Linked DNA regions of Tribolium castaneum. The protein of the gene in region 2 purifies or fractionates together with the protein of the main gene of each other region. This does not show direct contact. Links are inferred from orthologs where the notes say so. Each region holds a gene or a part of one and is shown on either strand. Other genes may lie near its edges.

Evidence for each region. Proteins that work in one complex are often made in the same cells at the same time.
Region 1: the proteins of regulator of nonsense transcripts 1 (region 2) and pcm purify together in Homo sapiens (affinity purification with western blotting; 4 studies listed by BioGRID and IntAct, with this or other methods). This does not show direct contact. The link is inferred for Tribolium castaneum from reciprocal best matches to the Homo sapiens genes UPF1 and XRN1.
Region 3: the proteins of regulator of nonsense transcripts 1 (region 2) and tsu purify together in Homo sapiens (co-immunoprecipitation; 7 studies listed by BioGRID and IntAct, with this or other methods). This does not show direct contact. The link is inferred for Tribolium castaneum from reciprocal best matches to the Homo sapiens genes UPF1 and RBM8A.

What each region holds. Positions count from the first base shown.
Region 1 is NC_087398.1:6,305,561-6,310,465, reverse strand, and holds the start of pcm (5'-3' exoribonuclease 1), read right to left. Parts: upstream 2,818-4,905; 5' UTR 2,626-2,817; coding exon 2,551-2,625; intron 2,506-2,550; coding exon 1,726-2,505; intron 1,678-1,725; coding exon 1,557-1,677; intron 1,508-1,556; coding exon 1,347-1,507; intron 562-1,346; coding exon 484-561; intron 431-483; coding exon 1-430. Other genes in the region: SCAP (sterol regulatory element-binding protein cleavage-activating protein), read right to left, coding at 3,194-3,579, 3,629-3,902, 3,953-4,174. UniProt on the Homo sapiens protein: Major 5'-3' exoribonuclease involved in mRNA decay. Required for the 5'-3'-processing of the G4 tetraplex-containing DNA and RNA substrates. The kinetic of hydrolysis is faster for G4 RNA tetraplex than for G4 DNA tetraplex and monomeric RNA tetraplex.
Region 2 is NC_087397.1:526,880-532,723, reverse strand, and holds the start of regulator of nonsense transcripts 1, read right to left. Parts: upstream 3,649-5,844; 5' UTR 3,316-3,648; coding exon 3,136-3,315; intron 3,084-3,135; coding exon 2,856-3,083; intron 2,812-2,855; coding exon 2,632-2,811; intron 2,586-2,631; coding exon 2,373-2,585; intron 2,321-2,372; coding exon 1,929-2,320; intron 1,518-1,928; coding exon 447-1,517; intron 386-446; coding exon 1-385. Other genes in the region: sodium channel protein Nach, read left to right, coding at 4,559-4,678, 4,729-4,889, 4,936-5,083, 5,131-5,261, 5,311-5,536, 5,582-5,762, 5,807-5,844. UniProt on the Homo sapiens protein: RNA-dependent helicase required for nonsense-mediated decay (NMD) of aberrant mRNAs containing premature stop codons and modulates the expression level of normal mRNAs.
Region 3 is NC_087399.1:11,507,518-11,511,274, forward strand, and holds tsu (RNA-binding protein 8A), read left to right. Parts: upstream 1-2,344; 5' UTR 2,345-2,459; coding exon 2,460-2,520; intron 2,521-2,570; coding exon 2,571-2,714; intron 2,715-2,768; coding exon 2,769-3,030; intron 3,031-3,083; coding exon 3,084-3,111; 3' UTR 3,112-3,240; downstream 3,241-3,757.

The DNA.
Region 1 (4,905 bases), on a different chromosome or scaffold from region 2:
GGTCGGTTTGAAACTCCTCAGGGTAGTATGATTTGATCAGCGAATTATCATCAGTCATTAAGGAATGGTAACATTCCGGGAGGAGTTTTTTACTGGCTGGGGGCAACACAGCCAGTAATTGTTCGTAAGGTTTGAAGGGTTTTCCGAGCTCAAAGTCGATTTTCAAATCGGAAAAACCCTTAATGTCGGAGATGTAGGGCGAATAGTGGTGTGGATAAAACCACGACCATGAGCACACTCCGTTGTAGTAGTAATTCAAGTTCCATTGGATGGCACGGACGTAGCCTTCGGCTTGCTCTCGCATCACTTCTCGCGTCACCTCTTGGAACTCTAATTTATTACGATAATACTCGTCTTTGTAACTTTTGAAAGCCTCGTCTTCTTCTGATGAAATGCTACTTTCGAAGTCTTCTTCATCGGAAGAGACGGCCTTTGCATTGAAAATGTTCAATTGGGAGAGTTTTTTTTTAAACCAGGACTTACCAAACTATCGGTTGCTGCTATTAATTCAGCAAGTGCGGGGTCAATTTTTTTCTCCTCGCCGTTTTTAACAGGTTTAGACTAGAGTGTAGAAAAAATAAAGTTTACTAAATATTAAACTTTTCATATTGTAAAATAGCGTATTCAGTGAAAATCTATTACGTAACGTAATATTTTATTTTTAGTTTTTTCACGGTTTAATGGATTTCCAAATAACAATAATTATAATCATTTTTGAAGGAAAAAAACAATATTAGGTCTTCTTAATTAGCATGTTTAAAAAAGTACACAAACTTACAGTGTTTTTATGGGCTCTCAGCTAAAAATTAGACGGTTCCGAGCCTCTCAAAAAGCGAGACCAATAAAAATTAAAAAATATAAGAAAATTAAAACAAACTTCAACAATTAACGTGATGTTTAATAAAAATAACAAACCCAATTATTTTGGAAATAATTTAAAACTGTCAAAAACAAGAAATTGTTCTAAATGAAAATGTGCTTAAATGCACAAAACATAAAAAATAACACCATTTTCGAGCAAAGTCAACGTTTTCTCAGATTATTTTTAAAGAAATACCATGCAATAATCAACGTCTCTGTACGAACAATGTCATAATAAAATAAAAAACTAGAAAAATAATGATAATCATAATTTATTGGTTCTGGAGAAGCAAATTTAAGAAAATTTCGCTCTTTAATCTCAAAAACGTACTTAAAAGATGAAATAATCTAAGATTTTTGCAACTAATTTGGTAATTTTTCGGTTTATTATTCATGCAAAACAATTGCGTTTGCACCTGAAAGATGTGTAAAACGCTCGAAAAAGGCAAAATTGTTTACTTTTTTGCATTATTAGAATAACTTACACTAACGGGAAGATGCGCAGTTGCTTTTCTCCCAGTTTTGCGTTCAAAATACGTTAAATCATCTTGGATTTCCTCAAAGTTTTTTATATCTACATCTGCCAACTTTTTCATAAATTTTTCGAACCGCTCTAAATTCAGCGTTCCGGCTTCATTAATGTAGCCTACAAAAACGAATTACACAACATTTTGAGTAAGAATAACGAAAATAACCATCTAATGTTGGTAAGACTTCAATGTAAGCTTTATAAAGAACAGGTAATGCTCCATTAGAGATGTGCAAATTAGGCAAATTTGGTATAAAATCGTTTCCAACAAGGAAGCCCATCAGAATCTAAAAGCATTAATTTCAGTCACATTTTTCCAAAGTTTTAGTTAGTACCCAGTCGTCAATAATGTTTTCAATGTCAAATTTAATCTTATCTGAATCCTTCAAAGCCTCCTTGAGAGGCGAAAATTCCATTTCTAAATACTCTCGCATTAAAGATAAATGCAGCAGATAAAATCTTATCTCTTCAGGTACATTGCTTCGTTTGGCTTTTTTGCCAAACTTGACCTCTTCCCTCAACAGTGAGAAGTGGGGGTCATGGGTGCACAACCCCAACATAATGAGATCAGCGTCCAAGCCATAAAGACAGTGGCGCGTATTTGGATCATACCCAGGCTGGGACCTAATGTACCTTATATAATCCATGATCTTATGCTCCCCTTCGCCGGGCGTCTCATGCCCTGATAAAATTATTTTACACTTTTTCCACATATTGTCGGTTGAAACTTTAGAAACGACGAAATATTTCAACTGTTCGTGCAACCTGGCCATGAACTCAGTGCCAGGTGTGATACAATTTGAGTCAAAACGTTCCACGTCGGGCAATTTCTCGCCCTTTTTTTTCGCCTCAAGTTCCATTTTTTCCGCGTCTTTCGCCGACCGAAACCGGCGTCCCCTTTGCTGGTTCATTTTGGCTCTGGGCGCCACCCCGTCCACTGCCATGAAGAACACCTTTTGGGGCTTGATCATCCGGAATAAAAATTCAATATAGTGGAAAATGTCCGCGAATATCTTCTCCTCGGTGATTCGAAAGTGAGGGTTGTTGTCGTCCGGATGCGAACACATGTGGATTATGCCGTTCATGTCCAAATACAAATTATCAAAAACTGGGATCTGAAACCCAGAATGTGGACGTGTTGGGTGCTGGCTGCGGTTTACCTGATATTCTTTCACAAATTCACTCAAACAAGGGTAGCGTTCGCTTATGTATCTGAAAAACTTGGGAACCCCCATGATTTAGGCTTGTTTTCAGTGCGGGTCTCAACGTCGCTCGCAAACTCTAAGACGCATGTAAATATAGAGTGTGTTTGAATGAAATGAAAGAAATAATCCACCAAAAGCTCTATATTCAATTATGAAATGCTCATCACAACTCACAACAAAAAAGAAAAATATGTCGTTTCGAATGACAGATGACAGAAAACGTGGATGACCCTAATGTCGGCTTTACACGCCACTGGCGTAACCGTACCGCAACGTAGGGCAAAGCAAATTATCGCTTCAATGACTATTTTATTTGCAACTGCAGTTCAGAAGAAATGGAAATAAAACCAATCTCGTTATTTAAAATATTTATTGTTACAAAAATAGTTAACATAACAATAATAAAAATTCATGTTAAATGCATTTATTTCCGCCAAATAAATAAATAACTTAATGAAAAAACAATTAGGTATTCGAAACCTTTTGTCAGTGAAAAATTTACAGTACGTTTTGACGCTTTTACGTAAAGGACATAAAAATAAAACAAGACATAAATAGACGAAACTATGTTACATCATTGAAGGCACGTAGAAACAACCTAGTCAAATTTATGAGTGATAAGAGGGAACCTCACGATGCGCAATTGATTTCCGTAATCACAGACCACAGCATCGCGTAACAACATCAACTGTTTGATAAAAATATACGGTGAACGGCCTAATATAATCGTTCGGACACATTCACCCGACCTCACATCCCAAATAACTAGCCCTCCACTGCGAGCTGTGACAACCAAATGAGGGGCCAACATCAACACCTGGCTAGAAAAGGTCTGAGAAACGTAAATGGTGTTCAGAAGATGGCCTTGGAAGCGCTCCCAAACACAAATGCGGTCGTCAGAACCCAGTGAAATCACGTAACTCGCAGAGTACGTCAGCGATGTTATCGTACCATCATGGGCCTGGATGTTGTACATACAGGCACCTGTAACGACGCTCTCATTAAATTTCGGCCTACCACCAAACCTATTTACCAGTTAGAAGATCCCAAACGCAGAGCATTCCGTCCTGGGAGCCACTGCCAGAAGTCGCTGGACTGATCCTGTCAATGAAAAGACAGGTGATGGGGCCGCAGTGGCCGTGCAGCGTGTACTGGGGGCTGCCGTCCTCCAGTCGGAACACTTTAAGCGTGTGGTCTTGGCTGCCGGTTAAAATTCTGCCGCCTTCACAGTCGAGGCAGATAATCGGCTGTTGGTGTGCCTTAACGCTGAAAACTTTCAAACACCGGAAATCTTCCTCATCCTCGTTCTAAAAATCGTAATTTGGAGAAATATTCAGAGTTAAAAATGATAATTTACTTGTGAAATTAAATTGGTGTGATCAGGGACGGAACCAACTGAGCCAGTCCTTACGTGGGTTCTTCGGTATGCGCAAGTGAAATTCCAGTCAACTGGATGGCCACGGTTGTAAGTTTGTAATTGGAACATTTCCAAGGTGCCATACAATCGGGATGCGATAATTCGCGACCCCACGATTTTTAAATTGCTTATTCCAACATCGGTTCCGTCTTCAAATATGCACTGCAACAATAATTGAAAAAAATATTAACAAACAATTTTTTTTGCAATCTTTAATCATACTTTTTTAACTGTGACTGCTTTTTGTATTTACTGTACCACGATTTCAAATAAATTTCTCTAATCCTACCGCCCTTTTTACAAACCTGTGTAATCTGAACAGCAAGAGTTTTTAATCATAGTCCGAACTTGTGTATTTAATAACTCAAACAGTATGATTCTTGAAGTGATTCATCTACTGAGTACTGATTAATAAATAATAGGACATTTTTTCAAATTAGAGTAGTTTTTCCAATATCTAATTAATTTTTTGCCTTGTCGAGATTTCTTTCTAAAGGAATTATGAACTTTTTAATAGTTTTTTCAAATTTTACCGAACCTTCGACTATTAAAGCTTATCACAGAATTTAAGACCTATAACTCTATGGTCATCTTAGCCATTTTATCCTGAATTTATACATTAGTATAGTACTATTACACAAAAGACTGAGTAAAGGGATAATGATAAGAAATTAAAAAGAAAAAAAACAGTAAACAAATTTGAAATTCCATTTCAAACGTTTAGCAAAAAAAAAATGCAATGGCGCATTTATATTTGCGGGGCAAATAGATCACAAACTTCACGAGAACTCTGTGTAATACAATTAATAACTTTAGCAGTTTTTCCTAAAATATATCTGTTTTCACGTTTCGTAAAAATATTATCATTTGGAGAAAATGCATTAAAAAATTAA
Region 2 (5,844 bases):
CTTCAAGTTTGTCAAAGGTCCCTCAACTAGGACTTTCTGTTCTTTGTAGAACGACAAAAGATGGTTCCAGAGTGGTTGTTTTGATAGTACTTTCGGGTTCCCGACTATTATTATTCCGTATTTAGCGCGAGTTAATGCAACGTTGAGACGTCGAGGATCGTTTAAAAATCCAATTCCTTGATGTTCATTTGAACGCACACATGACATTATAATTATATCTTTTTCACGTCCTTGGAACGCATCGACACTTGCAATTTCAATTTCTTGATAAGTCTTACTATGAAGTGAGCCTTGGTACTGCATGTATTGGACCAAGTAAGCTCGCTGACCTTCATATGGGGTTATAACACCGATCTGTTCCGGTTTAACTCCCGACCGCAAAAATCTGTAAAAAAGCAAATTAAAAAAAATAGGCAAACAGAAAAAAAACCAAATGATTTTCGTACCTAGTGGCGATCTTTTCGACATTAGCTGCCTCAGTTCGGTTCAGATAACTAGTCCCAGACCCGGCAATTTCCTCCTGCCCTTGGGTCACGTGGAAAAACATGGGCCTGTCAATAACCGGCCATGGAAAATCAATCTTGTTCAACTTCCTTTCATCGGCACAAACTCCATTTTGCAAACTCCCTTCATAGAAAAAATTGGAGGGAAAACGCGACAATTCTGGATGCATCCTGTATTGTACTTCCAAGCGAAACGGTCGAATTCCCAATACCACCAACCTCTCAAACAAACTTTGGGACAATCCAGCCCTTGCTGCTTTCTTACACATAACAACTGGACCCAACTGACAATGATCACCAACCAAAATCAATTGTTTCACTCCTAGTACCACCGGTACCATACATTCGGGTTCAGTCGCTTGCATACTTTCATCAATCAGAATCGAATGAAATTTCAAACGAACCAATCGTGGATCACCTGCCCCCACACAAGTACAACAAATAACATCGGCAGCTTCGAGTAATTCTTTCTCAGCCAATTTTTTCAACATTCTGTATCGTTTCTCATCAACTGAACTCAACTCTCCAGTCTCATCTTTCAACTGTTGCAACTTCTGGAGTTCAGTATTGGCTTCCATTTTACGTATCTGATTATGCAATGCAAGAAAACTCACAGGCGAATCAATCGCTTCGCGTGATTTCGCACACAATCTTACAACTTTTAGATTAGTTTTGTGAATTTTTTCGGTAAGTTGGTCAACTGCCGTATTACTGGGAGCACAGACTAGGACTGGACCGCCGTTTTGTTTCACCAATTGATAGACGATGGTGGCGGAAGTTACGGTTTTTCCCGTTCCGGGAGGACCTTGGATGAGGGAGAGTGGACGCTGGAGGGCATGTTTGACGGCGTAGACTTGCGAACGGTTCAAGTCGGGAAGATTAGGTGCCGAAAAATGTTTAGGGAGGTGACAACGGAAAAGGACCTCTTCGACCTCGTGGCCGAGGAGGCGGTGGTAGATGTAGGCGGAAACGGATGTATCGTCAACGGCGAATTTTCGCAAGGCGAGTTGCATCCTGCAATTAACAATAAAGGCGAGCTCAGAAAAAAACGACGTGAAAACTTGTTTTCACATAATTATTTTTTTAATTAAATATTCTTAGAAACCTTATAAAAAAATTACCACATTAATATAGCTTGAAATATCAACGCTTAAAATTAACATCTTACAAAGATTTTTTTAACATTCGGAAATAAGAAGTGAAAATGCGTCACTTCTCTCATGCTTTTTTTTTAATTACTGTGATTTTTAAAATAAAGTTTGATTGTAATATTATACTTATATTTAATGTGAAAGTTTATAACAATGGTACTTTCAACGTTTGACTACTAACAGTAAAACATTAATTAAAAAAATAAATAAAAAATGTGATACATAAAGAGATTAACGTGATTATTTCTGTTTCTATCACAACAACGAAATTTACCTGTCAAAACTGGTACTTTTCCAAATGAAATCCACCACAAAGTTGCTGTTACAATCGGTGGGAGCCCCATTTCCGTTCTTCAACTCAATGCCAATATCCTCTCCGTAATTATCAGGAACTTTGATAACGTGTCCCACCCCCGCCCATGATTTATGCATTTCTCCCACGTATCTAAGTCTCAACTCATCTCCGTGCATTAATTTCATATCCCCGTCAGTTTTAGCAAGAGTAAAATACGCAATTGTTTTCTTATTCAAACCCACATCCCACCTAACTTCAATATTTTCCTGAGTCTGAGACTCCTTCAATCTTTTATCATAATCAGCTTCAAGCTTAACAAGAGGACCAAAAATGTTTTGGTACTGATAACCGTCCTCATATCGCAATAAAACCTACCAAAAAAAATTATAATAAATACGTTAGAACTGTGCAAACAAGACTAACTTGTTGCGGTTCTTCGTCAACTCCTGGCCGTTCCAAATCCTGGAACGTGGCATCAACATTATCTTTCCAAAGTTCTTCAAGTTTGTTGATTTGTTGGGCTGAGATTTGGCGCGCTCGCAGTTGTTCCTGTTCTGATGGTATTTTTACAAGCCATGTGAGAAAACACCGGTCGGTAATGAGTGGTTTCCATTGGTCTTGATCCCAGTTCATGTCCTATTAAAAGCTTGAAAACTGTCCTATTTTAAAAGCAATGACTTACTTTAAGTGAGTTTTGGGCGGCACAAGGTTGGCGGCAAAGTAGCACCACAACAGAGTCAGCTTTGGCAGGAATGAACCCCAAAACAAAAACATTGCGGACGCCACAACTGTAACATTCAAGGATTGTCTCGCCCAAAGGGCCGTCCTTGTGTAAGGTCACTTCCTTGTGTTTGGCTCGGACCTAAACCCCAATCAAAAAACAGTTTCCAAGTTGAAATTCCTCACCAAATGGTTGATTATGTGGCTTCCTGAGGTGTTTCCTCTCCCGTTACAAAACCACTTTTTGCAGCAGTTGCACATGACAACGCAATTCGGCTCATGAATGCCGCAGTACTTGCACGCGTAGTTCGGGAGCTCCTTGCTGTTGAAATACTCCTCATCCTCTTCCTCGAATTGCAGTTCCCCTAAAGCACTCGTCGCATTGGCGATTTTGTTGTTGATGTTGTTGTTGAGCTAAAACAACAACGTCATACGACACTGAACCAGGGGGCGACCTTGCACTAACCTGTACACCGGAAACTTTGGGGCCCGCGTGGTCGTGCTGCGAGGCTTGCGTTTGCGATGGAATTGTGAAATCGGTGAATTCGCATTCGGATCCTTGGGTGTCAGCCCCGATCAAGTCGTTTTCTTCGGTCTCTAAAAACGTGAGAGTTTGCGAACTGGGGCCGTATGCGTCGACACTCATCTTGGAGATTTCGTCGCGAACGAATTGAAGCACGGGTTTATTCACGTTTACTGATGAAACACTTTTAACACTTCAATTGATGACAACTCGACTATGGTTACTTTAAAATTTCTACATTTTTCTCCTGGCAAGCGCCATATTTTCCTGATTAATCATTTGTTTTTTTATCGTCATTTCTCTTTCCGAAGCATAATTGACGGAGCGGGAAACTTAAACACTCGTGCTATCTTTTTCAGTTTTTAGCGCACTGATCTTTTTTATGGCCTCAAAATTAAAAAGTGGTTTAGGAAATAGATTATTGCACAACCTTATTGTCTAATTTAATCCCTAAGCTTTTTTTCGTTGGTTGGCACGGTGTTATCATTGTGGTTACCATCTTATCGGAGTGAGACACGTATCGCAATCTTTTAAGTTAAAGAGAGATAAGCATATGTTTGATTGTAGAAGTGGCTAAGGCTGCGTCACTTTATGATTTGATTTTTCACTTTTTTGTAAATTTTACATTTAAACATTATTTTTATTATAAAATTATAGCATAAAGTTTATTGATTTTTCGGTTTTTATTCAACATTCAACACATGACTGCAAAAAAGAGGCATATCAAAATAAAAAAAACACATTTTTCAAAAACAGCCGATTTTTCAGTGAAATTTTATCGGTAATAAGTCAAAAACATAAAATGATGTTCGTTTTAAAAGAACGTAAATTTACGAATGTTTTTGTCGAAATAAATAAAACTAAAAAACGTAATAAGTTTATTGAGTAGATGACCAATAAAACAACTGAGCATTTGGTTTTGCCTACCTAATTATTAAATTAAAAATGGACGAAAAATGGCGAAATTATTATGATTTATGATTATTGAATTTGATATTGCTATTACAAACTTTATCCATAAAAATAGAACGTGGACTCAATAAAAACATTATCAAGAAATGACTGTATTTTATTAAATTAATAGAAATCACACATGCTCTTTATTACAACTGGCACTCCTTATTTTTTAATTCTTCTCATGTTTAAGTAGCTTGCGGTTACTTAAATGCTCACGTATCATTCTGGTTTCCCACAGATACATAATAAATATTACGATGATATAATTGATAGTTTGAAAACTGTTAACTTTTTATTAGGTTTTTGTACAGCGACAATTCAACACATCTATTAATAATTTATTAAAGTTTTACTGCATTATGACCCAACTCATAAATAGTATTGATTACAAATTCCCAACTACACTACAATGAGTATTGTTACAAAATATTTCTTAAACACGTCTCTACATGGCTTGCATTTCATAGCTGATAAGAGATTCCACTGGACTGAAAGATTTTTTTGGACAATATGTGTCCTAACTTCTTGGGTAAATCCCACAAATCGTCAAATTTTTACCACAATAAAATAGATTCACAGGCCGCATCGATTATGCTAATGTTTAACGCACTAGACCAGTATCAAAACCAAAAAATATCCTTTTCAGTGGACACATCTTACTTAAATTGGCAAACAAACTTTCCTTCAATTGTTATTTGCGAACGATCAAATCCAAAAAAAATGCTCGAAGCTAACAAGAAGTAAGTTAATTGTGATTTTCTTTGTTATAACTCTCTCTGCTCGAAGAATTTTCGGTTCCATATCTCAACAGTTCCCCAAACTCGAAACCTTCGTTTTCTTCGACGGTTCCATAAGACACACGCAAGTTTGCCAACCAAATGGTGCTCTACGTGACAAATGCTTGCTAACAAATTACTCGCAATACATGCATAAGGTTGTGGTATTTTCCCAGTTAACATAACTGCACTCGTTTAATTGCAGTTCCGCAGCACTTGTTCGGAAGCAATTAGTTCGTGCTTTTACAACAACGAAGAATTTCCCTGCTGTGACGAATTCTTGCCCATTGACACTTACCACGGGCCTTGCTTTGGCTTCAATTCTCTGGTTTCAGGGTACTTGCCTTTTATTTCACCAAACAAATTTAAAAATAATTTTTATTAGAAAATACACAAGTCGGGAAGACCTCCCTTTCAAAATAACGCGCGACTCAAATTTCGGTTATGGCAACTTATCAGTTGAGCTGTACCATGATGGGTTCATTGTGTATGGGTTGAGCCAAGACTCCGTCCCTACTAAGGAAAGTTCCAGCGAGTTTGTGTTGCTAGATTCACGCACAAGCTCGGGAATTGTTGCTAAAACAGCCTACAAGGCGTTTTTATCAGTTAAAGTAAATTGATTACATTTGAGTGACTGTTTTACAATTGTTACAAAGGAAACTTTCACGGACGAAGCCGCCAGGTTGATGAAAATCGCAAATCGTGGTTGTCGATTTTACGATGAAAATAACTTGCAACATGCAAAATTGTACAGTACTTCAGCTTGCGTGAACGAATGTCTTGTTGAAGCCCAAAGGGAGATTTGCAATTGCACTTATCACATTTTACCACACAATGGTAACAAGTCGGTTCATAAACTATTAATTAAAACTACTTTCTAGATCAAGTCAAAGACTGTGATTTTGAGGGGCTTTTGTGC
Region 3 (3,757 bases), on a different chromosome or scaffold from region 2:
AATTTTGCGTAGAGCCTAAAAAATTATTATTGTAAAGAAATAATTATTCTAAAGAATAATTTATAAAAAACTATTGGTGTCAAGACGCAGTGGTGTGGTGTTTGTATGTGTAGTTGTTACTAAGTCACTGGCATTTCCATCTTTCAATGTCGCTTTTAAGTATTTAAATGAGTTAAAAGCCTGATGAAGTTTATTATAAAATCGAAACGTTGCAACTTGTCGTTTTATTTACAACCATTTAAGGAAGCTGTCCTAATGTCATTAAATTTTATTCCAATAAGAAACAAAAAAATATAAAATAAATAGAATATAAAATAATCTCACTGTAAAATAGTCTAAGAAAAGACTGGATTATAGATCTGCAGACAGCTTTTTAACAAAATTTGAGAAAAAAAATAAATTTTAGACAAAAGAGAAATCTAGAAAAGAATAAGAGTACAAAAAGAATGCAAAAATTAATAAAAAGAAATTCTAATTGAAACTGTGGAAGGGGACAGAGACTGGAAACTGAAGGAGAATTTGGAAAATCTAAAAGAACAGTCTACAAAATATTTATGAATAAAAATCTAGAGACTCAAGACAAAAGAATAATTTAGAAAAATTCTAAACGAAGCTATAGAAGGAATTTGAGAAAACGTACAAGCCACAAGCTAATTTGGAGAATGTATAAGAAATACTTTAAAAAGATTTTGAATAAGTTACAAAATAATTGTGAAAAACATCAAGGGAAGAATTTAGAAATGAATCATAAAGTGGATTTATAATATAATTAAAAGAAGAAACCGGATTTTAAAACTATTAGAGACGGCTTTATAAAAAAATTGAGAAAAAAAAATTGAAACAATAGAAAAGAATTGGTACAAAAAACATACTAAATATTGATAAAAAAACTTTAATTTTAACTTAAATGAAATTGTAGAAAAGGGTCAGAGGATGGAATAAAAGAAGAATTTGGATAATGTAGAAGTAGTGTTTATAAAGAACTTTTAATGCAGTATAGAAAATAATTCTAAATAAAAATCTAGACATGAATCTAAAGAATAATTTAAAGAATAATAATTTAAAAAAAATGTAAAGATGGGGTTATAAAAAAATAATCCAAAGAAGAGACTGGATTTTAAATCTAGAGACGACTAAAATAATTTGAAAAACATTTTTAGAAATATTTTGAAAAAAGAGCAATCTAGAAAAGAATTGGTACAAAAGAATACTAAAAAAATAATAAAAAAATACTAAATAAAACTGTAGAAAGGGACAGAAAGTGGAATCTAAAGGAGAATTTAGAAAATGTAGAAAGCGTTTATAAAAGAATTTTGATGAACAAAGCATTTCTAAATCAAAGTCCATACGATGAATTTATAAAATAAGTTTATTTCCTATTTCATATTTACAGATGGTTTAGAACAATGAGAGAAGAATGTTAAAAAAATAGTGACACAAAATCAAAGCATAATTTTGGAAGATCTAAACGAAGGATTTTGAAAAGTCGCAGAGTAAAATCAAAAATAAAATTTTTAGGATGTATTAAAAAAGTGATTTCAAAGAATTTTGAATTCAGTCTATTAGCTGTTTTTTAAACTACAAAAACGCCAACGTCACATTTTGTCTCAAAATTAGCTGTTAATGCTGTTATGAATTTTTGATGCACCTAAAAAAAAATAATGAAAGTTATAACAAGCGAATTTTTAAAATTTTGATCTAGGTATCCTTGACAGTTACCTCAACAGTGAAATATATTACGTAAATAACTTCAGCATCGCTTTATCTGTCAATATATCTAAAATATTCACCGAAGAACATAAAAAATTATGCTGGATTCTTATTTCCCTAAAGGACATTGGGTTAACTTAACTGTTGTGGATTACTAGATCAAAATTTTAAAACATCGCATGGTACTTTCAATGAAAGATCTAAACATTAATAACTGTTTTACAATTTCATCAACCTTGGCGTTTGTATAGTCTTGAAACAGCTAATATAAATACAAAGAATATTAAAAAAACATTTGGAAATGAAGTAAGAAACGCCACGTTAGCGTTTATATAGTTTTGAAACAGCTAAATAGAAATGTATTATGAAACATTTTCGGGATCTAAATATGGTTTTAGAAAAGAATATGACAAGAATGTTAAGAAAAGTCTAGGGACGAGTACTGAATCCATGCTGAGGAATAAATAATTTGAAAGAATGTTAAACGAAATTATAGAATTTTGAAAAGACGCAAGGGAAATGTTGTGTGTTATTATTATTAGATGTTATTAGTGTTTTGTGCAATAAAAATAAATGTATTTTTTATTTTATTTATTTTATTCCGTGTTTTTAAATCTGGAGAATTATGGTGTTACAAGTGGCACGGTTGGCAACGCTACCGCGACTTCAAACGTCAAAGAAGCATCCCAAATTTATGCTAAAAATCGGTCTTTTTTAATAAAAAAAACGTGTGTAGTGTCGTTGTTACAATGGCAGATGTTTTGGACATCAACGATTCCGTCGAATTGGACGTGGAAGACGAAGGAGACCGTAGGCAAGCCGTAACATAACCTCTCCTTTTCCTAACCTCACATTTCCAGAGAGCGTTTTGCGCCTGAAAGATAAAGTTGTAAAGCGGAAAGGTCGCGGCTTTGGGCCTGGAGAGACCAAGGAACATGAGAAAATTCGAGGATATGAAAGCATAGATTCCGGGGATCACGGAGACGAGCCTGGGCCACAGAAATGTAATTTGCATTTTAAACAGTTTTAGTGTTGTAAACAGTTATTTTGCGTTCTAGCTGTGGAGGGGTGGATTTTGTTTGTGACTTCGGTGCATGAAGAGGCCAGTGAGGATGATTTGAGTGAGAAGTTTTCCGAGTTTGGGGCTATCAAAAATATAAGTATCAACTTGGATCGTCGGACGGGTTTTTTGAAGGGATATGCTTTGATTGAATATGGGACGTACGAGGAAGCGTTTGCGGCCAGGGAGGCTTTGAATGGGTCTTTGTTGTTAGGGCAAACAGTTGGAGTTGACTGGTGTTTTGTTAAGGGGCCCAAAAAGTAAGTTTCTTGGTTTTGAATGGTTAAATCTTAGTGATTTGATTTCTTTTCAGGTCAAAGAAACGTGCAAGGAGACACTGATTGTAACTGTAAATTATTTATAACTCAATTTTCCACTTATATCCATTAATTTCTTAAGATTACAAAAGTAAGGTTCTTTGGTGTATTTTATTTATGACATTCAAGAAGTAATAAATTGTGAGTTTTTTACGTGTGAAGTGTATTTTTTCTATAGTTTGGGACAAGCAAGTATTCTCAAAAGACTTGGTAAAAAGTACAATGTGATCATTTAAAGTTATGGTTACAATAGATTTTAAAATTGTTTTAACTTGGATTAAAACGGTGATTATCAATTATCACCATTAATCCAACTCAAGTTTAAATAAGGATCGGTATCAGAAACATATAAAAATAAACAGTCATTTATTGTAAAAAAAACACTAATAACTGTGCTAATAACAAAAAACAATGTGTACTCTGTTTCTGTGAATTGTAGAATTGTCAATGTCACAATCAATAGTGGAGTAGTTGTTTCAATACTATAAAAACATCAACGTTGCATTTTCCCTTAAAATTAGCTGTTATAACTTATTCGTGGACTTAAAAAAAATAACAGCTAATGTAATTTATATTTTCAATGAGATCTAAGTATTAATAACTATTTTATAATTTCATTAAAAAAAATAATTTGGTAAAATGCGACGTTGGCGTTTTTATAGTTTTGAAT